4 linked regions of the Saccharomyces cerevisiae S288C genome follow. The gene in region 2 interacts genetically with the main gene of each other region. Each region holds a gene or a part of one and is shown on either strand. Other genes may lie near its edges.

Region 1 (8,709 bases), on a different chromosome or scaffold from region 2:
GATAAAGAAGCCATCAGATGAATTTTCTGCCGCACTCTTATAGCATAGCGGGTACCCACATATTTTCTTTCCCCTTCTTGCATTAATAACATCCATATAAGACATCGGTGAAAGTAGCCGTGCTAAGTATTTTAATGTCTGCTCATTTTCGCAAAATGATTCTGTGAGCATTGAAACTATGGCAGATTCAATCATTCGGGCTTCCACTATAGATAATTGCTCATGTAATTGGTGTGATCCTAAAATTACTTTTTGAATGAACGTAGTGGTTATTATCTGCATTATGGCTTGCGTTGCTCCTGTCCTTCTAGTATAAAAATAAACCTATCACTTTTCTTAAATATGCTGCAATTTTTCCAGAATGCCTCCTTGCTGTTGATAAATGGCTTCCAATCTTCGCCAATACTAGAATGTGACCGGCTCGTCTCTTTTGTAAAGTCGATGTAATTTTCGTTGGACTTTTCAATGGCATTTGATATTGAAAAAAATGATTATCAATGCTGGAGGGCCCGGCTAAGACTTAACCCTGAAGCTTCTGTCTTTACAAAATATTATATGAATTTATCCCTGAATTTTACATACTATGAAATTTTAGTTTTGGCAAAGAATTTGACACGCTACTTACTCTTGCAACTTTTTCAGACGCATTAGCATCATCAACACGCAACTCATCTTTTGATTCTGTGGCTGTCCTTGCAATATATCGCACGGTAATCCAGGGAACTTTATCCTTTATATCCAGATCGTCAACTTCGATTTCAGAGTTAAAGTTTTCAATGAAATTTCTTTCATGAATATTGATGCTGGAATTATACACCAAAAACTCATTTAGTATGGATACCGTACTCCAATATGAAAACTTTCTCATACATGCTACTACGAGAGATATTATCAATTCACCATTCGTACAGTGCATATAACAGGGGTAATGCCCTTTATCAATCAGAAATTTAACGCATCGTACTACAACATCGTATTCAATAGGAACTGTTTTCTTTTTCCTTTTAATCTTGGGTTTGGTCTTGTCTGCCTTTCTTTCACTTTGACATTTTATATGAATTGTCTTAATGTTATTTTCTTCACAAAACTTTACCATTAGAGGATCAGTGCTCAAAGGTTCTGGTGTCAAAGATAATATGTATTTCAATCTAAGGGTTCTCAGGAATGGGAGATTGATTTCTCGTGGGTAAGATCCTCTATATAAATTTGGCTGTACAGTCGAAAATTGTAACGGAGTCACTAGTGTCATTTTGATACATATAGCTTATTCTAGATGTGTGAACTGGGTATTCATAGCAATTGTGAACCCATAGTTTATATTGGTACTCCTTTCCTTCTTAACAGAGTCTCTTTTTTTCTTTCGCATTTTTTTTGGCCTTACATCAAATAGCGGTGATTAATGATAAAAAGCACTTAGCAGAAGTCATGCAACAAAAAAAGAACACAACATAAGGGTACAGCTAGTGAGCTCCATTGCTTCGACGTTTTAGGATAAAATGGAATTCTTTTATGAAGAACAAGTAGCTTGTATCGAAGATGATAAAATAAGCAACTCTCATACCAAGGAAACTGGATCAACAGAAAACACTGAAAATAACGAACTTCAGAGCCGAGATGACAAAACAAATGAGGCCTTCCAAAAGTTAGAAGAGGAAGTCAATAAACGATATGAAAAGACTACAAGTGCATTCAAAAAGTTAGTAATCGAGAAAGATGACGGAATTGAAATTAACTTGCCAATTAGCAATGAAACTACAGAGACTGCACAAAAGTATTTGAAGAAACTAGACGAGAATATTCACAGCGTGGAAAGTCTAGCCCAGTCATATTGGAGCAAAATGAAAACTAAGAATTTTTGGTCTGGCTTCAGTAGCTTCGATAATGCTGCAGAAAATGACTCTAATGACAAGGATGAGAATTCGAAAGAAAATGAAATTGCTGTGGGTGGAAATAGAACAGAAGCCGAACTAAGGACATTATCTAAAGATAAATCGGTTTATTTAGACAATAAAATGGATTTGCAACTGGACCCGTTTGACGTGGATGAAAAAACTGAGGAGATATGTTCTATTTTACAGGGCGACAAAGATATCTCCAAATTAATGAACGACATCGTACCCCATAAAATCAGCTATAAAGATTTCTGGCACATCTATTTCTTACAAAGAAACAAAATTCTAGATAAAGAAAGTAAAAGGAAAGAAATATTGTCCAAAAAGGAAAAGGAAACGGAGGAAAAAGAAGTTGAGTGGGATGACGAAGAAGAAGAAGAAGATGATGACAAAGTAGAAGCAGTAGCTGACAACAAATCTAAAGGGGAGACGAAAGTTGCTGTGTCTCAAGAGGGATTGAAAGATGTTAGTGACCATGTTGGCCTCGCCAACAAGGATGAGAGCAAGGACGACGACGACGATGATGACTGGGAATGAGTGATTTTTTTCATATAAAAGATATATGTAATGCTATAAATATTTACATACTTTTCATGACGTATTATGGTAGAAAGGAAAATCATCAATCCAAGAGATGCACAGGAGGAAGACAAAATCTGGGCGTGATCTCATCTTTACACCTTCTAAAAAAAAGTTCGTTTGTTACCGTTAAAATAAATCATTTGTATTTAGGGTTTTTTACTTTGACCTTAGATGGAAATAATGATATGCCATGTTGAACGGGAAAAAAAGTGTATAGACAACGGTTTTCAGTTATTTATTCAAATGAATCAAACACCGTAGACGCGGTGATAAAACAAAACGTATGCATTAGAGTTAATTGCATCGGCTTTGTTTTTGACAGGTTTATATTTGGTATCATCAAAATATAGCCATCCCTTCTTTAATCCCTTTTTCACATAGGCTGTATAATGACCACCATACAAAGTACCAAAGTGGCATGCTACACCATATAATTCATACTTAAAAGGTGGTATTTGTCCCCTTATTGGTAGTTCATCGTCATTAACACCTGGAGGAAAAACCCCGTCAAAATCATTGGCCCAAAATGGAGTCAAGTCCAACAAAAAAGGGTATATGACGAAGTCATTATTTTTGTTTAATAAATTATCAAATCTCTTTAAATGGACTATCAGATTCCTCGGTAATCTCGTTATTGTCAATTGTTTCGTGGAGGGCTGCCTTTTTTCACAATGTGGGCACAACCATTGCTCATCCACTTCCAAGTTCTCACATTTGGTGAACTCTCTGAAACAATCTTCAATGGTAATATTATTTCGGGAATTTTTTTTAGGAATAGGGATTGACAGCACCGTAAAAGGTTGGTATGTTGTCGAGGTATGACTACAGACTTTACATTTTAGTCGTGAGGCGTATTGTCCCTGAAATAAGTCGACAATAACACTGAAATCAGTAGTCAAGAATCGTTCCCACTCAATTGACGAGGCAATTCGCAAAGACAGTTTTTCTCTTCTCGCCTCAGCTTCTTGAGAAAGCTCCTTCAAAGGTGGGTTTGAACCGCATTGGTTCAAGTCTTCATGAAGACCATCTAGAAGGAATTGGCAAAACTCTTGGCAGTCCTGTTGGGATGCAGTCTTAAATAATGAGTTAACAGATCCACATGCCAATTTAAATTTTATCGGTGATATGGAAATTTTCTTTGAACCATCAACCTGTTCCTTATACATCATATGAACCAACCTTGCAAAATATTTTGCCAGAATACCTTTCGATCCCAACTTACTATTAATATTGATGTGTTTAGCATATGAATCGTCCAAAAAGATTTGGGTTAATTCGTGTGTACCTAAGATACACTGAATGATACAGTTCATGTAACACGAATTTCCTAGATTTTCCAAACCAACCGCGAAATCAAGGTCATAATTATGAGAAGAAGTTGGTGTAACATCTGTATGATCTAAAGAGTCATTATTAGACAAGGATAGACACGAAGGTTGAATGGTAGAGGTGGCAGAACTGTGTCCATTGGAGTTCATATTAAGGTTCATACTAATTGTTTGCGGGAAGCGTTGTAACTTCGGTGTGGCAGTTCTTGATGGAGAAGTGATGGCCTTCGTGTTGATAGGAGCTATGTGAGCAAAAGAGTTGTGATTCAACTGTTCTCTTTGATTTGTCATAAAATCTGTCTCACTGTTTTTCCAAAGATGTGGCGTTTCCGGATAATTGATTGGCAATGAATTGCCCTTAACTGGGTCAGGCGAATGTAGAGGTAAAGGCGATGGTGAACTAGATATGGACAACGAAGATATAGAATATAAGTTTGAATTTGAATTCTTCGGATTAGGAGACGTATAATTTGAGAATAATTTTTTGAAACTTGAAGATCTTTTTAGCACATGATCATTGTCTGATTGCTGTTGTTGCTGTTGTTGAAGATGATTTAATGGAGTAGGCGCAACTAGCATTTCTTTCATAGAGTCGTCCATTGAATGTCTTATACTGGGAGACATCTTAGGTAAATGTTGTAAACTTAGGCCAGAAGTGTTACCATTAATATAAACACTATCATCTTTAATATTGTTATTTGATGGAAAAGATGATGATACTTGCCTCCCATAATTTGACTTAAGCCAACCTGGAAAACCAGATTCCAGAATGAAAATTTTGGTAAAGTCATCGGATATTGGTTTTTCAAAGGAATGATTCACCAGAATGTCCAACAGGACAGACTGCTGTTTAACATTGTATTCGTTTGCGTCTGTATAGAGAATGATAAACTTGAAAAGATTTCTACTTTGAAACATTTTAATCTCACTATTAGGAGAAGTAATTAATGATTTTTTCTCCAAATCATGATCTGAATATGACATTTTAAAAGAAATAGGCTCCAGGCATATAATATTTTTTGTATCAATATGTGACTTGTTGAATTCCAACCTTGATCGTATATCTATCAGTAGTATCTCCATTTGGGAGGAAGCAGAATTTGCTGATGAACTTATTAGGGAGTTTAATTGATTGGAAGTGATATAGGAACCCGTTCTCATCAGGTTACATTCTTCTTGCTCATGGTTCAATTTTGTTTGTTTTATGGAAGACTTAATGAAACTTTTTATTTTTGCAATGTTTTCATCTTTTAATAAGGTTTCCAGCAAAGTGTTGTAAATGTTCATGAGTTGAAATTCATTATTGTTGTTATTACCGTTGCCCTCATCACTCGTGCTCTTATGTAATTTAATCTTGGCGAATTCACTTAAATGAGGAATATTGGTTGTTACAATAATGTGAATTACCTTGTAGTAAACATAATTTAATTGAATAATCATTACGGAATTTGAACTAATCATTGCACCCTTATTTTTGCACGATATAATATTTTTGATATCTTTCGAGTTCTTCTTGTAAATAGATAAAATATCGATGCATTTATCTAGAAGACTGCTCAAATCTTGATCTTTTGCCTTACCAGTTATGATGAATTCGTTAATTTTAGCCTCTGCAATAGCGGTTAGTTGTGCTATCGTAAGGTACTTCGACCGGTGACGAATACACTCATCCCTTATGGTACTAATAATATTCTGCTCCATAACTTAAGCATGTATCAAATAGTAAAAAAAACTTTGGAAGCGTGCACACTCAGTCTTAAATCTGCCCTATACTACCGAAGATAAATACATGAACTACACGTATCATATAACATCATATCCTTTTTTTTTTTTTTTTTTTTTTTTCTAGGCTTTTACTAATACAAGGGCCTTAGCCATTCGCTAAACGTAATGAACGATATTGAAGCAAATGAAGTAAAACAATGTGGAAAGCAAATAAATAATGGTTATAGTTTTGCACTTATATAGATATCAATAAATGATATGATATGACTAAATACGATAGGACCAGGGGGGAAGGAATATAGATATGTGTATGACAGAAACTACATGCATATACGAGTTTGTACCAAGTGCTTCTTAATAAACACCGTCATCTGGCCTGTTTTGTTCGATTCTAGCGTCATCTCCCTTTTTTTTCAAATCTTCCATTCCAGGTTGCTTATAATCTGGATTCTTGCCGTGTTCCAAAGTGTCCAACCTCTTCTTGTTGCTATCAAACAAACCCTGTTCTTTTTTCTCAGCTTCATCTTGATTGTTCTTTAGGTGAGGAAAGGCGGCCCTAGTGACGATTGAGAAAGACGCCCTTGGCGATTTACGCATCAATTGTCTTGGAGTGCGCAAAAAAGTGGTTCTCAACATTATCAAATATATTCCTGTGTATTATATATGTGATACTGCGGTCTGGCTTCAACTGCTGTTGGAGTATTGTAGGAACAAGTATTCAAGGCCAAAAAAAACTAAGAGCCAACTCAAAGGCCATATCTACCTAATCAAATCTTGGGACCTTTATATACTTATGTGCTTTTACGGTTCCCTTAGATTCTGTACAGGAAGAAGGGGTTGATACAGGAACAAACCCTTTACAGTAAAGGTATCCTTAAAAAAAAAGGAAGGTAGTACGTATATCTCTCCAAGAACTGAAAAGAACCCAATCACCGGAATTAAGCAGTGATATCTCAGTACGGTCAAGGATGTAGGGTAGCACCAGTAGTAATGATTTTAATTATACTTGGCAATTTTAAAATATACAAAAATTATATGTAGTATTTATAATTAGACATTTGTAAAGTGCGTTAAACTAATGATCTAGTTGTCGTATTCTTCCTTAATTAGTTCTCTCTCCATATCGATCCATTTCTGTTCTGCGAAGTTTTTGTCCTTAGCAACATTGGTGTTCTCAGCAATGATCTTGAAACCAACTCTTTCATAAAATGGTATCAATGGCTCGTGAGCAATAAGGACAATTTTGTTACCAATTTCCTGATTACTCAATTTCTGAATGTAGTCAGTTAAAAGTAAAGTAGCCAGGTTTTTTTTCTGGTATTCTGGCTTGATTACTACAGAGTGAATACCAATATGATTACTCGATTCCACTTGTAATTTGCCCATGCTTTCGATAGTAATGTATTCATGAGGTATCTTAGTACCCATAATATGACCAATTAGTGTCTCCTTTTTAACTTCTTTGCCCTCGATCTCTCTGATGAAAAGACCTGAACATAGCTCTGGACAATTGATCAAACGAAAGCTGATAATTTCTTCTGAAGCTCTTTCGTTTGGTGGGAAACCTTGGCTTTCCAAGTTCAAAATCTGCTTTAAATCTTCAATGATTAAGGGTCTAATATACATATGAAGCGGTAGCGTGCTACTTGAGGAGGCCATTTTAACTTTTTATTTAATCGTAATGTATTGGTGTTATTTTTTCTCCGAGAAAAGTATTCTGATGTCCAATTCTTCTTAATCTAGTTTGTTGTAAATTTTTCTTACAAACACTTGCTCCCGCTTCTTGTCCAGTGGGATGTTCGTCGTTCTTCCATTGCTTTTCCATTTTTGCCCGTTCAAAACTATTCTTTTTATGAATTGACAGAAAACCAAAAGCAAGCCGATTTCAGGTTAACCCTTTATTAAAATAAAAAAAAAAAGCATGCATAACACTAATAATATATTATTAAAAAAAAAGCCAATCTATATTATTTAAATTATCCGAAATTACTTTTATTACATTATGACATTCTATAGTCTATGCAAGCGGATCAAAAAACCATTCCATCTTGGTGCCACAAAATACTCTCATGCCAAAAGTGCGAGCTTCGTTTCTTGTATCCACTTTGTCGCCTAACCTTATATGAATCCACTTTTTTAAAACTTTTGGTTGTAAAACAAACCAGTTTATGATGATGAAACTTGTCATTGCATATAAAACACCAACGAAAAGGTCAAATCTATAATGGTGGTCCAGATACATGGTAGCCCACCATTGTAGTATTATATATAGGATAGCCCAGAATTTTGGTATAAACCCATCGTTGACTATTTTAAAAATCCATTTGTTTGTGAAGTTCGTGTCTTCATCATATAAATGGACAAACTGGAGAGGTTTCTTATTGCCATTGCTGTTAATAATGCTGCCGTCGCCGCCGCCGGTGCTTCTTTCATTACTGGATACGGTGAATGAAGATGAAGGGGAGGAGGACCGCTCATTTGAAATATCTACAGGCTCAACGGTACCCAATGGTTCCATCTCTAAGTCGTTAGGGCCAATCGTGGGCGGTATGCTATTGTCACCTTCATCTTCGCTGTCTTCCTCACTCAACTTGAAAGTGGAAGAATCATTATTGTGCATTGTGAAACCTCCAGCATTGGAAAATCTGTGTTTTAAGCTGGTGGACCTTGAAACCAAAAACAAGAAACATTGAAATGCAATGGCGGAGTGTAGTGAAGGAACAGCACCAAACACAATAGGAGACATGTGAAATCCTTTAGTGTTCAAATGAGTACCCAAATGGCTATCTACTCTTATCAAACCGGCAGCAAACCCTTCCTGGGTGTAATTAACATGTTCGGTGTCATCAATACCGTACAGATGAGTAAACCATGGGGAGGCCATTGGAACAAGCAGATGGGTAAGGACCCCCGCTATATTTTGTAATCCTAGGGCAAAACTAAAGCATTTTAAAGTCCCCGGTGGTTGGAAGACGTATAAGTATACAGCTGTTAAAATTGGAGCTGTCAAGTGCAGGATGACATAGGAGAACCAAGCCAGTAAATCCTTGGTCTTAGTAAAGTTTGCATCCGACTGGTAAGCAAAGAAATGATCAATGTTGAGTATAACAAATGTAAACAGGGGCAAGGCAAACGGTATGAAAATTGTCCGAAATCTCTTTTGGATCGGCCGCTGCTTGCGC
Region 2 (7,051 bases):
TTGCTGATTTCCGGGTATCCAGAGCTCTATCTGCTTCCGTACCCAGTGAGTGAGCTAAAATAAAAAAGGGGCCTCGGCGGAATTTGAATTCGGGTTACGTTTCCCACGGAGCCCCGGATAGAAAAGATTAGTTTCAGGTACATGTGTCAAATGAGGATAAATCTCAAACACCCATGTACCGAAAATCGATGTGTTGGTTATATTACAAGGTTGGAATAGACCACGGTGATAAGACGTGGAATTTTTGACTGACCATGCGACTCTGAAGGTGTTAACCGGAGGAATTCACGTAATTTACATCTCAAGAACAGCAGAACAAAGATCGAGTATATGATGAAATTTCGTTTTACATGAATAAAGTCATATTTTAACTCACTGTGCACGGATTAAGGGCTGTGATTTAGTGGGACGAGTGGTTCTACACTACTCAAGAAGTCACGCTGTCATTTGATGGAATTACAGTGCTTATTAGGAGCCGTGTAGCTTAGTGTGAATTGATGGAAGCTTTCGAGTTTCATAGAACATATCTGGTGAATGTATATGAGTTTTTCATTCCTTTTACGAGACGCAACTTTCCGCGGTTACGGAACTGTTGTTTTGTTTTACATCTTTTCATTTTTCATACATTTTATTGAGGCGTAGAAATGAAATGGGTAGAGCGGCACATGGATGTAACAATCTCCATTATTCACGTCGAGCCGATACCCGCTTCTGTTGACGCTCTGTTAAGCATAGAACCTACGAGATTTGTGCTAAAGGACGTTGGCAAGGAAGAAAACTATTGTTGATGACAGGATTTATAGCAGTAAATATTTTTTTCTTTTTTGCGAAATTATGTACGTTTCTCATCCAAGAAGAATCCTGTTAATATTTAAATTTCTGCTAGTCATTATCATATTGCAATGGCTTTTATTAGTGAAAGCCACTGTCAACAGTAACTGAGCTACTCCCTCCAATGTTGTCTAACTCTATGCTCTTTTTGGCGTCTGAATGAGCCATAACGAGGGAAATAACTGTATCAGGAATACTAACAGAATACAGATTGGATGCACTGGTGCTGGTGAGTTTTCTTTTTCTGATATTATTGGATAATATTTTCAGCTATAGACTATCATCATTCAGCATTGGTCACGCTAAAATATACGTTCCATGCATACGTGATAGCCTACTCGGTTGTCAACTTCATTTTATAGGCTGCCTGGTCACCGATTACCGCCCCGCTCAGCAGGACGGTTTAAGCTTCTGTTCTTGGAAACGACGTAATTCATGTCGGCCATCGAAATCATTCCTGGCTTTGTAATAGTCATAATGAACAAGGAATGCTGTCTTGGGTTTTTTTCCCTTTGCGAATACCCGGGCTGCCAAAATAGAAAAGGAACAAATGGTAGGTCTTTAAGATAAGAAAGATAAGATAAGACATCTTTTTTTTTTTTTTTTTTTTTTTTTTTTTTTTCCGATAACAAAGAAGAATCCTTCGGTCTCTTCTTACTGCTGTTACTGCTTATCAAGAGTGTCTGGTAATAGTCAAAGCCAGATAAGATAAGAAATGTAAAATCGACTATTTCCCTCGTAAAAAGCTTCAATTGCTCACGCATCGACGAATACTAAGCGGCGTGAAGACCCTGTGCCTTATCAATGAAGTATTCAGTACAAGAGGTGTTCATTCCGAGCCACTTTTCTGCACCATATATAAGCAGTAGTTACACATGTGCTAACCAAACATCAGTGGGTAGTAATCATTCGTGCTTTCACGTCCTTTCAAATTAAATATCCTTCTTAAATAATAAGTCTGCACAGAGCTTTGAAAGAAGTTTAGTTTTGTAATATATCATACTTAATATATTACAATACAATATCAACAATGTCTTACAATTTTACAGGTACGCCTACAGGCGAAGGAACGGGTGGTAACTCGTTGACAACAGATTTGAATACACAATTTGACTTGGCCAACATGGGATGGATCGGTGTGGCTTCAGCAGGTGTGTGGATTATGGTCCCAGGTATCGGTTTATTATATTCTGGTTTATCCAGGAAAAAGCATGCTTTATCCTTGCTTTGGGCCTCGATGATGGCTTCCGCCGTGTGTATTTTCCAATGGTTTTTCTGGGGATACTCATTAGCTTTCTCACACAACACTAGAGGTAACGGTTTTATTGGTACCTTGGAATTCTTTGGGTTTCGTAACGTTTTAGGAGCCCCATCTAGTGTCAGTTCTCTTCCCGATATACTGTTTGCCGTTTACCAAGGTATGTTTGCCGCAGTCACCGGTGCCCTAATGCTAGGTGGTGCCTGCGAGAGGGCAAGGTTGTTTCCTATGATGGTGTTCTTGTTTTTATGGATGACTATTGTTTATTGTCCTATTGCATGCTGGGTCTGGAATGCCGAGGGTTGGTTGGTCAAATTGGGTAGCTTGGACTATGCAGGTGGTTTATGTGTCCATTTAACATCTGGACATGGTGGTCTAGTTTACGCTTTGATACTGGGTAAGCGTAATGACCCTGTTACACGTAAAGGGATGCCCAAGTACAAACCACATTCCGTCACCTCGGTGGTTTTAGGCACAGTGTTCTTATGGTTTGGTTGGATGTTCTTTAACGGAGGCTCTGCAGGTAATGCAACTATACGAGCATGGTACTCTATTATGTCCACAAACTTAGCTGCTGCTTGCGGTGGCTTGACATGGATGGTTATCGATTATTTCAGATGCGGAAGAAAGTGGACTACAGTTGGTTTGTGTTCAGGTATCATCGCTGGCCTAGTGGGTATCACCCCAGCCGCCGGGTTCGTGCCAATCTGGTCAGCCGTTGTCATTGGTGTGGTTACTGGTGCAGGATGTAACCTTGCTGTTGACTTAAAGAGTCTATTGCGCATCGATGATGGTCTAGATTGTTACTCTATCCATGGTGTGGGTGGTTGTATTGGTTCTGTATTAACTGGTATCTTTGCTGCAGACTATGTAAATGCCACTGCAGGCTCTTACATTAGTCCAATTGATGGTGGCTGGATCAATCATCACTATAAACAAGTTGGTTATCAATTAGCAGGTATATGCGCTGCACTAGCCTGGACTGTTACTGTCACATCTATCTTGCTTCTAACTATGAATGCCATTCCATTTTTAAAACTAAGATTAAGTGCTGATGAGGAAGAATTAGGTACCGACGCTGCTCAAATTGGTGAATTTACATACGAGGAATCCACTGCTTACATCCCAGAACCAATCAGATCTAAAACATCGGCACAAATGCCACCTCCTCATGAAAACATTGATGATAAGATTGTGGGTAACACAGACGCAGAAAAGAATTCTACGCCTTCCGACGCTTCTTCTACTAAGAACACTGACCATATAGTATAATGATATACTCAAGCAGACTATGATTTTATGTTTAATCTTTATGTAACGCTTCATTTAATAATTTTATTTTTAATATTTGATATATTTTCTTTTTTTGATAACTCCGAATGATGAGGGGAGACGTTAGTATTACTTCTCTTGTCTTATGTTATTATCATAATCGATGACTTTAACTGTGCACACTATAATATACAGCATCTCCAGAGCATGATAGCAAGAAATTTTCTTTAAGAAAGCCTCTATATACCCTATATATGCTGTTAACAGGAAAAGAGCACAAGGTTTATTTTGCTTTGGTTGCAAATTTTCATCGCTTATAGAAGACATATTTTGATGTAAAAACCTTGATATACTTCCTTTTTGCCTTATCTTTCACTGTTTCCATCTCTTTTCTTTTTTTTTTTTTTTTTTTTTTTTTTTTTTTTTTTTTTTTTTGAATCTTAAAATTCTCGAAACTGCACTGAAATGGCGCAGGAAACTGACCTCATCGCATGCCAACGAAGATTGAAAAAAATTAACATATAAGGCTTATGAAAGCGACATCTTTTGCAAATGAATAATTGACAAGCAGGCCTGTGTATTTATAGTTATTTTGAAATAATAACTACCATTAGAACTAACAAAAGAAAAGAAAAAAAAAATAATGGTTTCTGTGGAGTTTTTACAGGAGTTACCAAAATGTGAGCATCACTTGCATTTGGAAGGTACTCTAGAACCTGACCTATTGTTCCCATTAGCTAAAAGAAACGATATAATTCTACCTGAAGGTTTTCCTAAATCGGTCGAGGAATTAAACGAAAAGTATAAGAAGTTTCGTGATCTGCAGGATTTCTTAGATTACTATTATATTGGTACTAATGTCTTGATTAGTGAACAAGATTTCTTTGATTTGGCGTGGGCCTATTTTAAAAAAGTTCACAAACAAGGCTTGGTCCATGCTGAAGTGTTTTACGACCCTCAGTCACATACATCTAGGGGCATCTCCATAGAAACAGTCACTAAAGGTTTCCAAAGAGCTTGTGACAAAGCCTTCTCTGAATTTGGTATTACATCCAAGCTAATTATGTGTCTGTTAAGACACATTGAACCAGAGGAATGTTTGAAAACTATCGAAGAAGCTACCCCATTTATTAAAGATGGTACTATCTCTGCCTTAGGATTAGATTCTGCTGAGAAACCATTTCCCCCACATTTATTTGTTGAATGTTACGGAAAGGCCGCCTCATTGAATAAAGATTTAAAACTAACTGCACACGCAGGTGAAGAAGGCCCCGCTCAATTCGTCTCGGATGCTTTAGACTTGTTGCAAGTAACAAGAATCGATCACGGTATCAACAGTCAATACGACGAGGAGTTATTGGATAGGTTGTCGCGCGACCAGACCATGCTAACTATTTGTCCTCTCTCCAACGTGAAGCTACAAGTAGTCCAATCCGTTTCAGAGTTACCACTACAAAAGTTTCTTGACAGAGATGTTCCATTTTCTTTAAATTCTGATGACCCCGCCTATTTTGGTGGTTATATCTTAGATGTCTACACTCAAGTTTCGAAAGATTTCCCACACTGGGACCATGAAACATGGGGTCGTATCGCTAAGAACGCCATTAAAGGTTCATGGTGTGACGATAAAAGAAAGAACGGTTTGTTAAGTAGAGTGGACGAAGTAGTCACTAAATATTCGCATTAGTACCATTTGCAAGACATTGTATAATATTTTTGTTGAAAGTCTTTTTCGATTCATAAGCGCTTTTTTGTAAATTTATAACACTATGTGTATGCACAAATTTCATTCGATGTTTTTGATGCTTTTTACATCCCCTTTTGTGTGGGAAAGGATACAATAGAATTCTACAAACTTATTTGAGTGATTATACGAGCATTAGCTGGACCTTTTGTATTTCACGAGATTACAATTCGGGAACTATCAAAGTACACGTTAAAATTCAGCTCGGGTATGTTAAGTACTAGTAATTACCTCTGGTACCTACTGACGTAATTCCCACCCTTGGGACCTTGCGGAAGCGCCTGAGTATTGCTCTTTCTATTTCCGTTGTACCTTTGATTTTCATTGGCTCTATGGGCAGCACCGCTATCTCGTGTATTTCTATAATCTTGCGTTTGAAATTTGTTTCTAATTGTTTCATCCTTCTTGAATCTTTTATTCGGCTTTTCTTCATTTTCTGAAGGCGAGTCGCGCTTGTAAGATGAAGCTTGGTAAGGGTTGGCTTTGCTGCTGTCTTTGCCCTCTTGAAATGGCTTTTCAGGAAACCGTAATTGTGAACGTTGTGAACTGTTTTTCTTATACTCTTCACGTAAGCGGTTATCCCTTTGATCAAAACCATCGCCCCTGTCCGGACCTGTGGGTCTAAGTGCCCTACTTCTATCATTATATGTTTTACTTTTACTAGGTCTAGTTGGTAGTTCTGACCTTTTATGTGCATAACTACTGATTGGCTTAATATTTTTGGGTGCAGAACGATCATTGCTTGGTCCTCTATAGTTGGAACTACCATAACCATCTTTGCCTCCAGCATTTCCGCTGTACCTACTTGATCTTTTGGTATATTCAGGAGCAGCAGCTTCAGAATATGAGCTAGTCGTATCTGGGTATGGCTCGCGCGAGATATTTTTAATATACCTTTTAAGCGAATCAATTTTTTCTGCAAAATCTGGATTTTGAGGATTTTGAATGAGTGTCCTAAAGTACCTTTCGAATATTTCCAAAGTCGAATTTCTAAAGTCGAATATTGGCATATTTTGCTTAGATAATTTCCTTAAATTCCGAGTTTCATCGTCGTTCTCTACTAAGGAAATTGCCTTTTGTAAATGGTTCGTGGCCAAATAATGGTTTATATCGTCGACGTGCCTGGTGACTTTGGAATATGACCATTGACTACTAGAAGGTTTTGTTGGGATTACAGGCTCATTACGAGAATAAGTATATCTATCCTTGCTATTTAATCCAGCACTGCCGCTTGCAACACTTTTGGGTGGATCATTTTGAAGTCTTTGCGACTTATTAAGCTCTAACTGCTTTCTTAAAGCTACTTGCTTTTGTTCATTTTGGCAAGCTGTTTCATAATTTTTGATCTCTTCTAATTCCATTTCACGTATTCTCTTTTGTTCAGCTTCCTCTTCAGTTAAGGTGCAGAATTCGTCCAATTCTAAAGCGTCCTTCAAACGCGCTTTCAAATGGCCAATCAATGCGCTGCTTGGTAGTTTAATATCCTCCCTTTCTTCATTTATCAAGTTTTCCTCTAAAGTTGTGTAAACCAACTGGATATGAGCTTTCACTACAGGGAAGACACTAGTGACGTGCTTCATGAATTCAATACCGTTTCTAATTGACATGTAATTTTTTTCGGATAAAAGGTCAATGACTTGCTCGGTAATTACTGAATGCCATTCATAAAGCTTTCGAGAAGCTTGGTCGTTGAAATCGCCATTTAATCTCATTTTTTCAAGCTTTTTAAGAACGTCAGTGAAAAACAGACCTAAATTGCCTGCTTCAGAGCTAGTACAACAGAACAGCAACGTTTTTAAAATATTTGATGTAATACAAGTATTCAATATCGACATCAAATTTTCTGTCCTAAAAGCCATAAAGATAAAAAACGAAGAGAAGAGAGCATCTGAAGGAGAAAATAAAACCCTTGGCACAACACAATTCTGCAAGAATATCTTAATTTG
Region 3 (9,484 bases), on a different chromosome or scaffold from region 2:
TTATATTCTTATTCGTTGCACCTTGTTTAACAAATCACTCAGACTCAAAGAGAATATCGGTTGGTTATCTCTCTCCGAAGGTGAACAGCAAACAGTACCTCACGTCTTTTTTTTGAATAGTTTTTTTTTTTGTTGAAACAGAAAAAAAACTTTCTTCCGTATATTACATTGTACATTATTTTTATTGTATTTTAGTTTCCAACGTTAGGATTTGAGCCGTCATTAATATTATTCGTTTTTGTACACTATTCCAGACGATTTATTTTTAGTACACTTAAAATTCCTGTTGATATTGTCCACTAGTTCTCTTTTCATATTTTATTTTCGCTTATTCTTTAGGTTCTTTTAAGAGTCTCTGTTCATTTTCCGTTCTTACTGTTTCTTTGTCCTCGATATCTTTTAAGAAAGAGAGAACTAAGCGCTGTAACATTTTTAAGTGGACCTACGTTATGTCTACAAAAGGTTTGAAAGAAGAAATCGATGATGTACCATCAGTAGACCCTGTCGTTTCAGAAACAGTCAATTCTGCTTTAGAGCAGTTGCAACTAGATGATCCAGAGGAAAACGCCACCTCTAATGCATTTGCGAATAAAGTTTCTCAAGATTCTCAATTCGCTAATGGCCCTCCGTCGCAAATGTTTCCACATCCACAAATGATGGGTGGAATGGGCTTCATGCCCTACTCTCAAATGATGCAGGTTCCTCATAATCCTTGTCCATTTTTTCCGCCCCCTGATTTTAATGATCCAACAGCACCATTGAGTAGCTCGCCCTTGAATGCAGGCGGTCCACCAATGTTATTCAAGAATGACTCACTTCCATTTCAAATGCTGTCTTCGGGTGCTGCGGTAGCAACTCAAGGTGGACAAAATCTAAACCCATTGATAAATGACAATTCAATGAAGGTATTGCCAATCGCATCGGCTGATCCGTTATGGACTCATTCAAACGTACCAGGATCAGCATCTGTAGCCATTGAAGAAACCACCGCTACTCTACAAGAAAGCCTACCATCTAAGGGCAGGGAGTCTAATAATAAGGCTAGTTCGTTCAGAAGACAAACTTTTCATGCTTTATCACCAACTGACCTTATCAATGCGGCCAACAATGTAACCTTGTCAAAGGACTTCCAATCTGACATGCAGAATTTTTCTAAGGCTAAGAAACCGTCTGTAGGAGCTAACAATACTGCAAAAACCAGAACTCAATCCATATCTTTTGATAATACTCCCTCCTCAACGTCATTTATACCCCCAACCAATAGTGTTTCTGAGAAATTATCCGATTTCAAAATAGAAACCTCGAAGGAGGATTTGATTAATAAAACTGCACCAGCTAAAAAAGAGAGTCCTACAACTTATGGTGCAGCATATCCATATGGGGGACCTTTACTTCAACCAAATCCTATTATGCCAGGCCACCCACATAATATATCCTCCCCTATCTATGGTATTAGATCACCTTTTCCTAATTCTTATGAAATGGGCGCGCAATTTCAACCTTTCTCTCCGATTTTAAATCCTACGAGTCATTCACTAAATGCAAATTCTCCAATTCCTCTAACCCAATCGCCAATTCATCTTGCACCAGTTTTAAACCCTAGTTCAAATTCTGTTGCCTTTTCAGATATGAAGAATGATGGTGGTAAGCCCACCACCGATAACGACAAGGCGGGTCCAAATGTTAGGATGGATTTAATAAATCCTAATCTTGGGCCATCAATGCAACCTTTCCACATATTACCTCCCCAGCAAAACACCCCCCCTCCTCCCTGGCTTTATAGCACTCCACCTCCCTTCAACGCAATGGTTCCGCCTCATTTGTTGGCTCAAAATCATATGCCGTTAATGAATAGCGCCAATAATAAACATCATGGTCGTAATAACAATAGCATGTCAAGTCATAATGACAATGACAACATTGGTAATTCTAATTACAACAATAAAGACACAGGTCGTTCTAACGTTGGTAAAATGAAAAATATGAAAAACAGTTATCATGGCTACTATAATAACAATAATAATAATAATAATAATAACAATAATAATAATAACAGTAATGCTACCAACAGCAACAGCGCGGAAAAACAACGTAAAATTGAGGAGTCGTCGAGATTTGCGGACGCAGTTTTAGACCAATATATCGGAAGTATTCACTCATTGTGTAAAGACCAACATGGTTGTCGTTTTCTGCAAAAGCAGTTGGATATTCTCGGCAGTAAGGCGGCGGACGCAATTTTTGAAGAAACTAAGGATTATACGGTTGAATTGATGACTGATTCATTCGGTAATTATTTGATCCAGAAGCTATTGGAAGAGGTTACCACAGAACAAAGAATCGTACTCACAAAAATATCTTCCCCTCATTTTGTCGAAATTTCCTTAAACCCTCATGGTACTAGGGCATTACAAAAACTCATTGAATGCATCAAAACAGATGAAGAAGCACAGATTGTTGTTGATTCTTTACGCCCTTATACTGTCCAGTTGAGTAAGGATTTAAATGGTAATCATGTTATTCAAAAATGTTTGCAAAGGTTGAAGCCTGAAAACTTCCAGTTTATCTTTGACGCAATCTCTGATAGCTGTATTGATATTGCTACTCATAGACACGGGTGTTGCGTTTTGCAACGTTGTCTAGATCATGGGACTACAGAACAATGTGACAATCTGTGTGATAAGTTGCTAGCCCTTGTTGATAAATTAACTTTGGATCCATTTGGCAACTATGTGGTGCAATATATAATTACCAAAGAGGCTGAGAAGAACAAATATGATTATACGCATAAAATTGTCCACCTGTTGAAACCAAGAGCCATCGAACTTTCTATCCATAAATTTGGATCAAATGTGATTGAAAAAATCTTGAAGACAGCTATTGTTTCGGAGCCAATGATTCTGGAAATTTTAAATAATGGTGGCGAGACGGGTATTCAATCATTGTTGAATGATAGCTACGGAAATTACGTTTTACAGACAGCATTAGACATTTCTCATAAGCAAAATGACTATCTCTATAAAAGACTATCAGAGATTGTGGCGCCTTTACTGGTGGGCCCCATAAGAAATACACCTCATGGTAAAAGAATCATCGGAATGTTACATTTAGATTCATAGTTGATACATATATCCTCAGTTTAGCTTTTTTTACGTTAGCCTCATATAATATCTTTTGTACAATACTAAAATACATCATTTTTTTTTTCGTTGAGGATCAAATGAATATCCAAAGCAAAAAAAATAGGAATTTTCACTTTATGGTATACTGGTAAATAGTGTTGAAGAAATAAGAGAAGGAGATGCCCTAGAAAACAGAATGTTCTTATTTAAATAAGTAAACTCAAAAGAAAAAAAAAAGGAAGGAAGTTTTTGAGAACTTTTATCTATACAAACGTATACGTTTAACTATCTGGATAAACGTCGCTCCACAGGATACTGTAGAGGTCCTCAAGATCACCGTTATTAACAAATTCATCTAGTGTCCCCAAATTAAAACTAGTTGCAGAAAAATTGTTACTGTTGTTGTTGTTAATATTGTTAATATTGTTTTTATTGTTGTTGTTGTTGTTGTTGTTGTTATTGATTTCATTTGTGTTCATAAATGGTACTTGTACTGAAGTGGGTATTTGCTGCTGAGCATTGATTGGTTTATTAGATTGGACTTGCGTATTATTTTGCCCATTTGTTGGTTGCGCGTAATCGGGATTGATCATATCAGACACGGATAATGACCTAAATGAAGGCAATTGTGCAAACTCCGGTAGTGAGTTGTTTCTCACTGGGGAAGGTGCTGAGCGACCATTGAATGGCAATTGAGGCGATTCAATGCCATTTAGTAAGCATGAAGTGCCCGTCTTAAGACTTGGGAGATCCGGATTCAAATTTTTTCCCGAATTATGCTTCATCTGCTTATTATCTTCATTTGACATTAGTGGTTCCTGAAACTTTCTATTTTTCAACATTTGTGAGACCGTTAAATGGAATCCTGACTTCTGAACAGGTTCTAATAAAAATCGATAAGCGCAAGAGTTTGTATCCAAGACAAGTTCTATTATACCTTTTAAATCTGGCGCATTCTCATCAATATATTTGGAGATAACATCGAGGTTGGTGCTAGAGGACTCTCCGTATGCCAAAAGCATGATACGAGTGACGATTGTCAGGAAAGAAAAAGCTCTTGTATAGTCTTTAAAGCTTTGGCTGTTGAAGACATGCTCATTGGTCTCATTTTCGGAAAAAATTTTTATATCCAAAAATCTTTTGAAGACTCTAATCATATTCACAACGTCATTTACTTTAATGAATTCGGCCACTGAGAATGCTTGTGATACCAAAATAATGCAACTGATAGAATAATGGGCGAACGAACGGTATACGGAATAATCGTTGTCAAAGTCTAATAAGATTTTGTTCATATCGGTCCATGATTTGTAAATCTTGTGAAGGTATATTTTCAAGTTTTCAATTAGTATTGAGGGCCTTCTGTGCACGCATAATCTGGCGACAATATTATCAGATTCGTTAACCATTCTGCAGAAATGGTGCTCGTAAAATAGAACAAATTTTGAAGCCATAATCTTATCCTCTCTTGAAACTTTGAGTTCAGTACTATCTTTAGAGAATGCAATATCGAACAATTTTCCAGTTTGCTCTTTGATAGCATCATATTTCATTTCTGTTTCGTTAAAAATCTCGAGTACCTCGAAGAGTAGTTTCTCTCTAACAACAGATGGTTTTGATGTATTCCTAATTGACGTGAATTTTTCATTGAATAAAACAGATGATGAGAAATGGCTGACTATTTGTAAGACAGCTAATTCGCCATAGTATTTTAAGTCGGATATGCACATGTTGTCAAAAGCTTCGCTCCTGCGAACTAAGTGGACGTTCTCGATAAAATCTCTATTATCCAAGAACCCAACATCTCGAAAATTCTTAGGTAATAAACAATTGATTTTGGAGTCATCAATGTTCGAAGGATAGCCAAGTTTAGAGGCTAAAGTTTTCTCGAAATAGAAAGCTTTCCACCAGAGATTTCTTCTTCTTTCAGCAAAGTTTTCATCAAGACCCACGTAAAATTCCCACCTTGATAAACCAACTCTTGAAACAAAATGAACTGCTACGTTCAAGACTTTTTCAAAACCGTATATTTCCGATAGCCAAAATAGCAGATCCAAAAAGTATAGAAGTTGCTCTAAATGCGTTATGTCGCATGTGAAGTCCACGTAGTTGTATAATGTAGAATTATAATAGCTGTAACATAAGGCGATTAGCGCCTCTCCAGCTTGACAATAATGGATGAATTCCTGCAAGACATCAATTGACTGCGTGTTTTTAGCCACGGAGGGGTTAGATGTGATTTCCATTAGGAAGTTCTGGTAGGAATTTTTATGCATATCCAACATCTTCAATAAAATGCCAAACATGCTGATATCATTATTCATTTCGCTTAGTAGCTCAGAATTACTTATTCCGGTTATATTTCTCACAAAGGGCTGCGGTAAGTGATTTATCACTAACGCAACATGCGATTTTGTGTGTGCTGTATTCGGGCTCCCTGCAGATGATATCGAAGATGGGGTTGAAGGTAAAAGATTCATTTTCTGTAGGTAGTTTTCCAGGGGATTAGCTATGGAGACACAGCCTTGGTTGATGTGATGAAAACAAACGTCGAAAAACCTTAACATGATGTATATGGTTTCCTTGGCGGTCCTGGGAAAAATCTCGCATTTGGATTTGGATCTATAATTTTGGAAACATTTACCAATACCTTGAAGTGACAAAAATTGGAAAGGAGAGTACAAACCAAAGATTTCGTCGATCAAAGGTTGACTAGAAGTATCTTGGTCCTTCTTATTGTTTGACCAAGCGGCATATCTTGTCAAATGTACCACATCACAGTATTTGTTTTTCATCAATTGAGTTTCTATTGATTTATTAGGGTAAAATTTCGTTGTTGCTAATTCTTTGGTCCTCACTTTGGGTTCCCATCGCTTAAGCAAGTCACTTATCTGAAGTTCAATGCTCTCGATGGCTGAGGTTACATGTGTACCTAAATGAGCCATCTCCTTCAAATTTTTCAGAGTGGTTTGTAGAGATGTCAAAGTTGCCTGTGATTCGCTATCGTCTTCATAAAAACCGTTTCTATTCACATCGTCGTCATTCTTCCCATCACTTCCGCTATTATCACCACTACTACGACCACCTAGCTTGAAATTCTCAAAAAATTTCGTTGGTTGTTCCACTGCGCATGGCCCGTCTGTACATCGCTGAGGATTAGAAAAAGAAGTCGAACTGGAATCTGTTTCCTCTTTGACTTGTACGGTTGTACCTTCCAAACTCGTCTTGTGAAGGTTTTTTATTCGAGCGCCACCTTGTCTAGTGCTGAACGTGCACTCACATGAATATATCTCACAGCTTGCGCAGGGAAACTTCCCATTACATTTTATCTTTCTTTTTCTACAGTTATCGCACGCTTTACTTACTTTCGACCTTGGCTTACGAATCTTGCCGCTGAAACCTGTAGAAAAGTTGCTGGAGTCCGCGGACGATTCTGTATCCGGACCCGTCTCAATATGTACACCGTTCTTAGGTGTCAAGCCTCGCATCTTCCAGTTTCTTGGATTCTTTTCTGTATATTCTTGGCTGAGATGAATAGTTAGCAAGTGATGTGCAAATTGTCTTTTTTTAGCCAAAACTCACTCCTGGTAATGTCTATATGGCCGCTATGGTCCTGCTATCATGCTATTGTTGACAATGAAAGAGTGGCTGATCATGTGTAATAGGCGAATAAGGTTGTTTTGAAGAGCTTTAATTAGCGCCTCTTATTGCCACTCATTAGGTCTTGAACAAGAAAAGAAACTCCATTTAGGGTATGCGTCTGTTTCCAACAAAGCCCTATTGGACCCTGAGAATGTAAATCAGGGCTCGTTTCTTCTCGTTTAATAACTAAACGAGACTCATTTCTTTTTCGTTCCTTGGCGCTATTTTCGTGCATCCCGTAATTGCCGGTATTACGCGATCGTTTGGCGTTACTATGGAAAAGCAGAATTATATATCCTCGAGGAAAAATTACCAAACAGTGGTAATAACGTAGGAATGTAGTTCAGTTATGTAGATAGGCAGATACGGATATTTACGTAGTGTACATAGATTAGCATCGCTATGGCAAAGGATAATAGTGAGAAGCTGCAGGTGCAGGGAGAGGAGAAAAAGTCCAAGCAACCGGTTAATTTCCTGCCTCAGGGTAAATGGCTGAAGCCAAATGAAATCGAATATGAGTTTGGTGGGACTACTGGTGTTATTGGTATGCTGATCGGGTTTCCACTGCTAATGTACTATATGTGGATTTGTGCGGAATTTTATCACGGTAAGGTTGCCCTACCCAAGGCTGGTGAATCGTGGATGCACTTTATCAAGCACCTATACCAGTTAGTCTTGGAGAACGGTATCCCAGAAAAGTATGACTGGACTATTTTCTTAACATTTTGGGTGTTTCAGATCATTTTCTACTATACGTTGCCCGGGATTTGGACAAAAGGTCAACCATTGTCTCATTTGAAGGGAAAACAATTGCCTTACTTTTGTAATGCCATGTGGACCTTGTATGTAACTACCACTTTGGTCTTGGTTTTGCACTTTACCAATCTTTTTAGATTGTATGTCATTATTGACCGTTTTGGGAGGATCATGACATGTGCCATTATTTCAGGGTTTGCCTTCTCCATCATATTGTACTTATGGACTTTATTTATCTCACATGACTATCATAGAATGACAGGAAACCATCTATATGATTTCTTCATGGGAGCTCCACTAAACCCTAGGTGGGGGATTTTGGACTTGAAGATGTTTTTCGAGGTTAGATTACCTTGGTTCACCCTTTACTTTATCACTTTGGGTGCCTGTTTGAAGCAGTGGGAGACTTACGGCTATGTGACACCACAATTGGGGGTTGTCATGTTAGCTCATTGGTTGTACGCGAACGCATGTGCTAAAGGTGAAGAATTGATTGTTCCAACCTGGGACATGGCTTACGAAAAGTTTGGATTTATGCTGATCTTCTGGAATATTGCCGGTGTCCCATACACTTACTGTCATTGTACGTTGTATTTGTACTACCATGACCCATCTGAATATCACTGGTCTACACTGTACAATGTTTCGCTGTACGTTGTTCTATTATGCGCCTACTACTTCTTTGACACGGCAAATGCTCAGAAAAATGCCTTCAGAAAGCAAATGTCTGGTGACAAGACAGGTAGGAAGACTTTCCCATTTTTGCCATACCAAATTTTGAAGAATCCAAAGTATATGGTTACCTCCAATGGATCGTACCTATTGATTGATGGTTGGTACACTTTGGCTAGAAAAATTCACTACACTGCCGATTGGACTCAATCTCTCGTTTGGGCCTTGTCTTGCGGGTTCAACTCGGTGTTCCCATGGTTTTTCCCAGTATTCTTCCTTGTTGTCCTGATTCACAGAGCCTTCAGAGACCAAGCAAAATGTAAGAGAAAGTACGGAAAAGATTGGGATGAGTATTGTAAACATTGCCCTTACGTCTTTATTCCTTATGTTTTCTAGTTATTTTCTTTTTCTATCCACTTCATTAACTTATTTTACAGTTTGTATATAAAAGTATTGATGTATTTACGCGACAAAAGGGCTTGAAAAGATTCGATTTTCTATTACTTGATCTACTTTTTCCTATAAAATAAATCCTAAATGAAACGTGTCCATACATATATTGAGTGTTGACGCGTGTGATTTCACATTATGTTGTGGCAGGAAGTATGTTAATCTTGTTCAGCAATTGCTACTAGCCTTTCTTCGATGTTCTCAGCACTCAAGGTAAAGAATTTGTCCTTTGTAGCGACACCGACTTCCAAGTCATTCTTTGAAAATTCGGTACCCAGTGCGTCAATCATATGAGTAATAGCAAATTCTACCACCTTCTCCCATGATTCTTCATTAATATGGTCGATTTTACTCTTTTTGAAATGGTTTTCTAAGTTTGTTGTGATCTCCTGTTGTTTTGGTCCTGTCGCAGTAGCTTTGTAGCCAACGTAATAACCTGCAGGGTCAGTTTTGTAAATGGAGGGACCCAATTCTTCATCTACCGAAACAAATGTGAGTATAACACCTAATGGTCTCATATATGCTCTTTGAGTATAGATTTGGGAAAGGTTAGCCATTCTCTTAGCCAATACATCGCATGGCATATCATAACCATATTTATAACGGAATTCTGCAGCCTCAGCCTTGGCTCTTAGGGCCGCATTTCTTGCATCCGGTATTGGTCCGTTCACTACCATACCAATTGTTCTTGAAATACAAAAAATATACGAAACAGTAGTTGGATCCAACAGTTTATCAGGGACCTTTTTCTGACTTATCACCACTGTACAATCTTTACCTCTGACCGCTAGTGAGTTTATGTTAGTTTGATTAGTCGCTTTAAAGGCATATTCTACTTGATATAA
Region 4 (5,621 bases), on a different chromosome or scaffold from region 2:
ATTGAACAAGTCTTGGAAATTAAAGGCCAATGCATTTAATAAAGAAGCCTTGAGCCGAATAAAAAATCTACAGAAACTAACTACTGGTTTAGAACAAGAAGACTGTTCCATTTGTCTAAACAAAATAAAACCTTGCCAAGCCATTTTTATATCACCATGTGCCCATAGTTGGCATTTTCATTGTGTAAGAAGATTGGTTATTATGAATTATCCTCAATTCATGTGTCCGAACTGTAGGACAAACTGTGATTTGGAGACTACCTTGGAATCCGAATCTGAATCCGAATTCGAAAACGAGGACGAAGATGAGCCAGACATTGAAATGGATATAGACATGGAAATAAATAACAATTTAGGTGTTCGCCTAGTAGATTGATCACATGAAATTTTGTGCTATATATATATATATATATATATATATATATAACATAGAGTCGTCATACCTCTCAAAAAAGTGGCGGCCAGGGAAAATATTTAATAGTTTCAGTTCATTCCTTCGTTCATTTACAGTAACTTGTAGGAAATAGACCTTTCAATCCGTCACATTCACCATATGTCCACCCGCTACCGTCATCGCCTCTGATAACAGTAATTATGTCCCCCGGATCAATTGAAATCTCATCATCTCCCTGTGCTTCGTAGGCATATATGGCCTCCATCGTCCTAACAGGTAGTGTACTCCTTCTTGGTGGTGGTACTTCTGGTGCAGGGCCTCTATCATTTGCTTTAACTGTAGCCGCGCTAGATATGCGAATATATGTGGTGGGTACAAGGCCGGTTTCCCCAGTGGTGTCGTTATTTATCTTAGTCCATCCAGAACCCGTATCGCGTGCAACCAAAGAGATTTTGTCTCCTGGCGTAATGGTGATTTCGTCATCATCCTTTTGTACGTATGCATACAACACTTTATTCTTGCCGTCATCACTGGAATTTTGTGTGGTCTTTTTTGTATTGTTGGTACTAGTGGTGCGTATAGAATTATTATCTGAATCTTCACCAGCGTTGTTAGGGGCAGAGCCTAGCCTAGTTCTTCTTGATGTGTTGAAGAGACTTGTTATATGCAAGGGTCCTCCGTTGCCATTACCAGTGCTCCCTCCACTCGAAGGCTTCGAGTCGACGTTCAGGATGTTGTGTTTGAACTTACTGAATATCCCGGATTTCTTCTTTGTTTTGGAAAGATCAATATTGTCTGTGGATAAATCGTATTCTTCAGGAACATTATTCTGAATACTTTCGATTTGAACTTCGGCTTGCAATTTTAATGTTTCGTGTGAGGTAAAGGGTGAAACGACATTTAAGTATTCCTTTAGTGTATCATAAAACTTAGTGGCATTGATATTATCTTCATTAGTTTTCATTTCGTGCTTTATCTTGTTCAAAGTAGACAGTTTGGATAACTCATTTTGAGTTTTATCTTGCAATGAATTGTAATCATTTTCTGCTTTTGCCAGTTTTATTCTCAAGTCTTCAACTTCCAACGACGAGGGAACAGCAAATTTTTCATCATCATGCCATACTGGAGATGGCTTATAGACAAAGTCTTGTGGTTCTTTCCAATTCTTTAGATTGTGCTTGATAAAGATGGCCGTGTTTAAAGAGGGTTTATTCTGCTTGACAACAGAATTTGCCGCCTGGAGTCTTTTGCTGACATTTGCACCCAGATCGTTCTCGACAGAAGCCGCCTTCAACCACAGATCATTTAAGAAAAGGGTCTTTGCCTCATTTACGTCTTGTAGAAGATCTAGCACTTCAGGAACATCTTGAAAATAGTATTTATCCTTAGTTCTATTTGCCTGGTTGATCTTGATTAAATATTCATTTTTACACTTGTTCATCTCCATTTCTTTTTCATCCAACTTCTTTTTATTTCTATCATTAGATGCCTTGGTATACCTATTTCTTGCCATTTCCATAGTGGAACAGGCTTCATCATAGTCCTTCTTCGCTTTTTCCAGTTCGTGGTAAATGTTATCCTTTTTATTAACCATGTCATTGTTAAATCCATTTATCTTGCTCAAAGTCATATCAAGTTTAGTGAATAATCCACTCAATTGATTTGCTACATGATTTTCAAAGTCGGTTGATAACTGATCATGATCCTTGGAAATCATATCAGTCTGAGATAGAATTTCATTCCATGCAACCACACCTGCAGCTTCAATGGACCCTGGCGTGGTAGTAGGTGTGTCACCTACCGAGATAGGAACTGAGGTCGAAGACTTCTTATTAAAGTACTCTGCTGATAAGCGAGATAATCTCTCGCTGTAGTCTTTTTCTAACTTAGCCCTTTCCCGATAAAATTGCTCAATGTCCTTCAACCATTTTAAGTTATTTTGGACCCATTTATGGGTTTCCTTAAATGAATCTTTAATTTCATTACCAATCGATAAATCTGCACTCATTTTTATTGCAAGTAATGTAGTAGTTGGCGTTTAAGGATAGATTTCCGCTCATACAAAATTGATCAATCTGCTACCTTCTTCAAAAACTATTTGCGTACAAACTAAATCTGTCTATTCCTTTGCTAAGCGTATATTCTTTTAAAAACTTTTTATTTTTCTGAAGACCCCGCGAAAGCTTATGTAGATCACAAGATATTATATATATTTACTATTTGTAAAATACAAAAGAGGGCAATAAATATACCGGATTATGAATCATCTAACAATTGCAGTTTAGACAACAATTTCAGATTCTATGGAAGTGTAGCGTTCAAAAAATTCCTTAAATAACTTGATTTGGAACTCCAGGTCTGCAGAGCCACCGGTCTCTCTAATCGAATGCATACTCAACACAGGATTACCCAAGTCTAGAGTTCTAATACCTGTCTTTGAGGCCAAAATGGGGCCGATGGTAGAACCGCATGGTGAGTCGTTAGCTACGACAAACAATTGCAAAGGGACTTTAGCAGCCTCTGCTAGTCTTTTCACCAAGACCAACCCTGGTGAATTGGTCATGTAACGTTGATTCGCGTTAATCTTGATTACGGGACCACCACCCAATAAGGGTTTGTGTTGGCTTTCGTATTTGTTTGCATAGTTTGGATGAACTGCATGAGCAACATCAGATGAAAGGAAAAACGACTTAGCGGAAGTTTCCAATATTGCCGAGTGAAACAAAGGTTTAGTTTGATCAGAACCGTCCCCCTTCAGGATGGACAACCTTTCCAATATATTAGGCAAGAAGTTAGAATCTGCCCCTTGGGCGGAGGATGAGCCAATCTCCTCATGATCAAAGCATGCCATCAATCTAATGCCTGATTCTCGGTCAATTTCTGTGTCAGCCGCCAACGTTAAACCGTGCATTGATGTGAAACAAGATGTCAAATTATCCAATCGACCAGAGAAGACAAACTCATCGTTGAACCCACCTAGAGTGGATGCATTATGATCATAAAGGATCAATTCGAAGTCTTCAATGTCTTCAATTGTATCAATGGCGAGTTCTTTGGCTATTAGCCCCAAAAGTTCTGCGTGATGCCTCTGTACTATCGTTTTTATGGAGGTAAACTCACCGTTATTAATTTCCTTTTCAGTTTTCGCTTCAGTTTTGTCTTCTTGCAGACCACCAATCGGCAACAGTTGAGTTTCTCTATTAAACTCGAATTTTTGATTTACGTCTCTGTCCAGATGAATAGCCAAAGTAGGAATCTTTAACAGAGGTCTATTCAAATCCACCAATCTAGCAATGGATTTGCCAGTTTTCGCATCCTTTACGAAAACTCTTCCGGCAACGCCCAAATCCTTATCAAACCATGAATGCCAAATAGCGCCACCATAAGTTTCCACGCCCACTTGTAAATACTTCTCACTGACTCTTTTAGAAATAGGCTTAATCCTTAATGCGGGGGAGTCGGTGTGAGCACCCGTAATGGCAATTGGATTACCAGGCTCCCACTTTCCACCAACAGCAAACGCAATAATGGAAGAGCCATTTCTTGTCACAAAGTACTTTCCTTTTTGTGCGACGTGGCCAGCCCACGAGTCACGTTCGCTCAACTCTTTGAAGCCATTTGACACCAGATGCTTTTTGATGTTATGAACTGTATGGTAAGGAGAGTGTGAGCTATTTAAGAAACTGACAAACTCCTTTGGGTAATCACTCTTGCATGTTTTGCTGGACATAGTTCTCAGTTGTATCCTGAACATAGAAAAGCTGAACCTTTTATTCTTTCTTTTTACCTACTTGCTCACATAACATGAATTTTTTCTTTCATTCATACAGGAGGAAAACGCCCTTTTTTCTTTCATTTAAGAGCGTGGAGATATCTGCAACTTTTCAGCAAGTATGATAAGGCTAAAATGATAAGGAATAGAAAACCGTAGCCAGAAACTAGTATCTCGAAAGCCAAGGCAGGCTTCTGTTGCAAAAATAAGCAGACCTTAAACTAAAGGAGTTTACTCCTTGGCGGAACACTGAATCACATTATATACGTAAGTTGAACGGGACTATTTATCACGTGTGATTATGTGGTCTCCATGTCAGTCGCAATATTTACAGTATATATAAGGGAAAGAGGGCCAGTTGTAATAATTGTAGTACGTGAAATAACTGTTTCTGAAGTCCTTCACATACGCTTTGGTACGGGATTAACCACTTACTGATAGACCTCAAGGATATCTTGTGAGTTCTTGTCAAATGGTGAAACTGTGGTTTCTATTTTTTTGCGGTGTTTAATTCAGAGTGCGATCACTTGATGGGTTTATGCAACACGCGATATATAAGCATATTGCGCAACAATAGATCGTTGCAATCCCTCCATCTCTTCAAATGTTGTAGTACATGCTATAAAGGAAAGATTGCACGAAAAGAGTACGTAAGATGGTGGACTTGTCAACAGCTTTGATTCATGGCGATGATAAAGATAACAGGGTTACTGACGTGGCGCCCCCAATTAATGTCTCTACAACCTTCCGTTACGACGATGACGACCTAATTCCATGGACAGAGCGTGAAAACTTGGACTTTATGGAGAAGAAGCCCGTATATTCACGGCTAGCGCATCCAAATAGCACCAGATTAGAGAGTATCTTCTCAGAGATCCTCGATGGTTATGCTGTCATTTATTCTTCAGGGTTAGCTGCGTTCTATGCGGCAATGGTACATTACAACCCTAAGAAGATCTTTATCGGACAGAGCTACCATGGTGTTCGAGCAATTGCTAACATATTGACCCGTAATTACGGCATTGAGCAACACCCCTTGGAAGATATTGAAAAATGTGCTTCTGAAGGTGACATTGTCCATCTGGAATCTCCTGTAAACCCATATGGTACCTCTTCTGATATCGAGAGTTTGGCCCGCAGAGCTCATGCAAAAGGCGCCCTGCTTATAGTGGATTCCACATTCGCATCTCCTCCATTGCAATACGCATGGAATTTCGGAGCCGATATTGTCCTATACTCTGCTACTAAGTACTTTGGTGGTCATTCTGACTTGTTAAGTGGCGTCCTTGTAGTCAAAGAGGAAGCAACTTCCCGACAACTAAAAGACGACAGAATCTACTTGGGTACAAACGTGGCAAATTTGGAAAGTTTCATGTTGTTGCGATCCCTGAGAACCTACGAAATGAGAATAACCAAACAATCAGAAAATGCTACGAAATTAGTTAGATTTTTGTC

The links.
Region 1: of AAH1 (region 2) and DOA4, changing one suppresses a phenotype caused by changing the other (phenotypic suppression), as found in Saccharomyces cerevisiae (2 studies listed by BioGRID, with this or other methods).
Region 3: mutations in AAH1 (region 2) and PDR1 together harm fitness more than expected from each alone (negative genetic interaction), as found in Saccharomyces cerevisiae (2 studies listed by BioGRID).
Region 4: mutations in AAH1 (region 2) and BZZ1 together harm fitness more than expected from each alone (negative genetic interaction), as found in Saccharomyces cerevisiae (2 studies listed by BioGRID).

What each region holds. Positions count from the first base shown.
Region 1 is NC_001136.10:582,217-590,925, forward strand, and holds DOA4 (ubiquitin-specific protease DOA4), read right to left. Parts: upstream 5,504-8,709; coding exon 2,723-5,503; downstream 1-2,722. Other genes in the region: RTR2 (putative protein-serine/threonine phosphatase), read right to left, coding at 1-282; OCA6 (protein-tyrosine-phosphatase), read right to left, coding at 575-1,249; DOS2 (Dos2p), read left to right, coding at 1,497-2,429; FMP16 (Fmp16p), read right to left, coding at 5,882-6,163; PAA1 (polyamine acetyltransferase), read right to left, coding at 6,611-7,186; IPT1 (inositolphosphotransferase), read right to left, coding at 7,545-8,709. UniProt on the Saccharomyces cerevisiae protein: Ubiquitin thioesterase that acts at the late endosome/prevacuolar compartment to recover ubiquitin from ubiquitinated membrane proteins en route to the vacuole. Also removes ubiquitin from soluble proteins targeted to proteasomes.
Region 2 is NC_001146.8:355,592-362,642, forward strand, and holds AAH1 (adenine deaminase), read left to right. Parts: upstream 1-4,004; coding exon 4,005-5,048; downstream 5,049-7,051. Other genes in the region: YNL143C (uncharacterized protein), read right to left, coding at 1,203-1,595; ammonium permease MEP2, read left to right, coding at 1,862-3,361; YNL140C (uncharacterized protein), read right to left, coding at 5,326-5,895; THO2 (Tho2p), read right to left, coding at 5,333-7,051. UniProt on the Saccharomyces cerevisiae protein: Catalyzes the hydrolytic deamination of adenine to hypoxanthine. Plays an important role in the purine salvage pathway and in nitrogen catabolism.
Region 3 is NC_001139.9:465,692-475,175, forward strand, and holds PDR1 (drug-responsive transcription factor PDR1), read right to left. Parts: upstream 6,608-9,484; coding exon 3,401-6,607; downstream 1-3,400. Other genes in the region: PUF4 (Puf4p), read left to right, coding at 450-3,116; ERG4 (delta(24(24(1)))-sterol reductase), read left to right, coding at 7,164-8,585; SCL1 (proteasome core particle subunit alpha 1), read right to left, coding at 8,798-9,484. UniProt on the Saccharomyces cerevisiae protein: Positive regulator of proteins involved in permeability. PDR1 and PDR3 jointly control the transcription level of both SNQ2 and PDR5.
Region 4 is NC_001140.6:334,864-340,484, reverse strand, and holds BZZ1 (Bzz1p), read right to left. Parts: upstream 2,403-5,621; coding exon 501-2,402; downstream 1-500. Other genes in the region: ubiquitin-conjugating protein DMA1, read left to right, coding at 1-376; APE4 (aspartyl aminopeptidase), read right to left, coding at 2,676-4,148; YHR112C (putative cystathionine beta-lyase), read left to right, coding at 4,822-5,621. UniProt on the Saccharomyces cerevisiae protein: Plays a role in endocytosis and trafficking to the vacuole. Functions with type I myosins to restore polarity of the actin cytoskeleton after NaCl stress.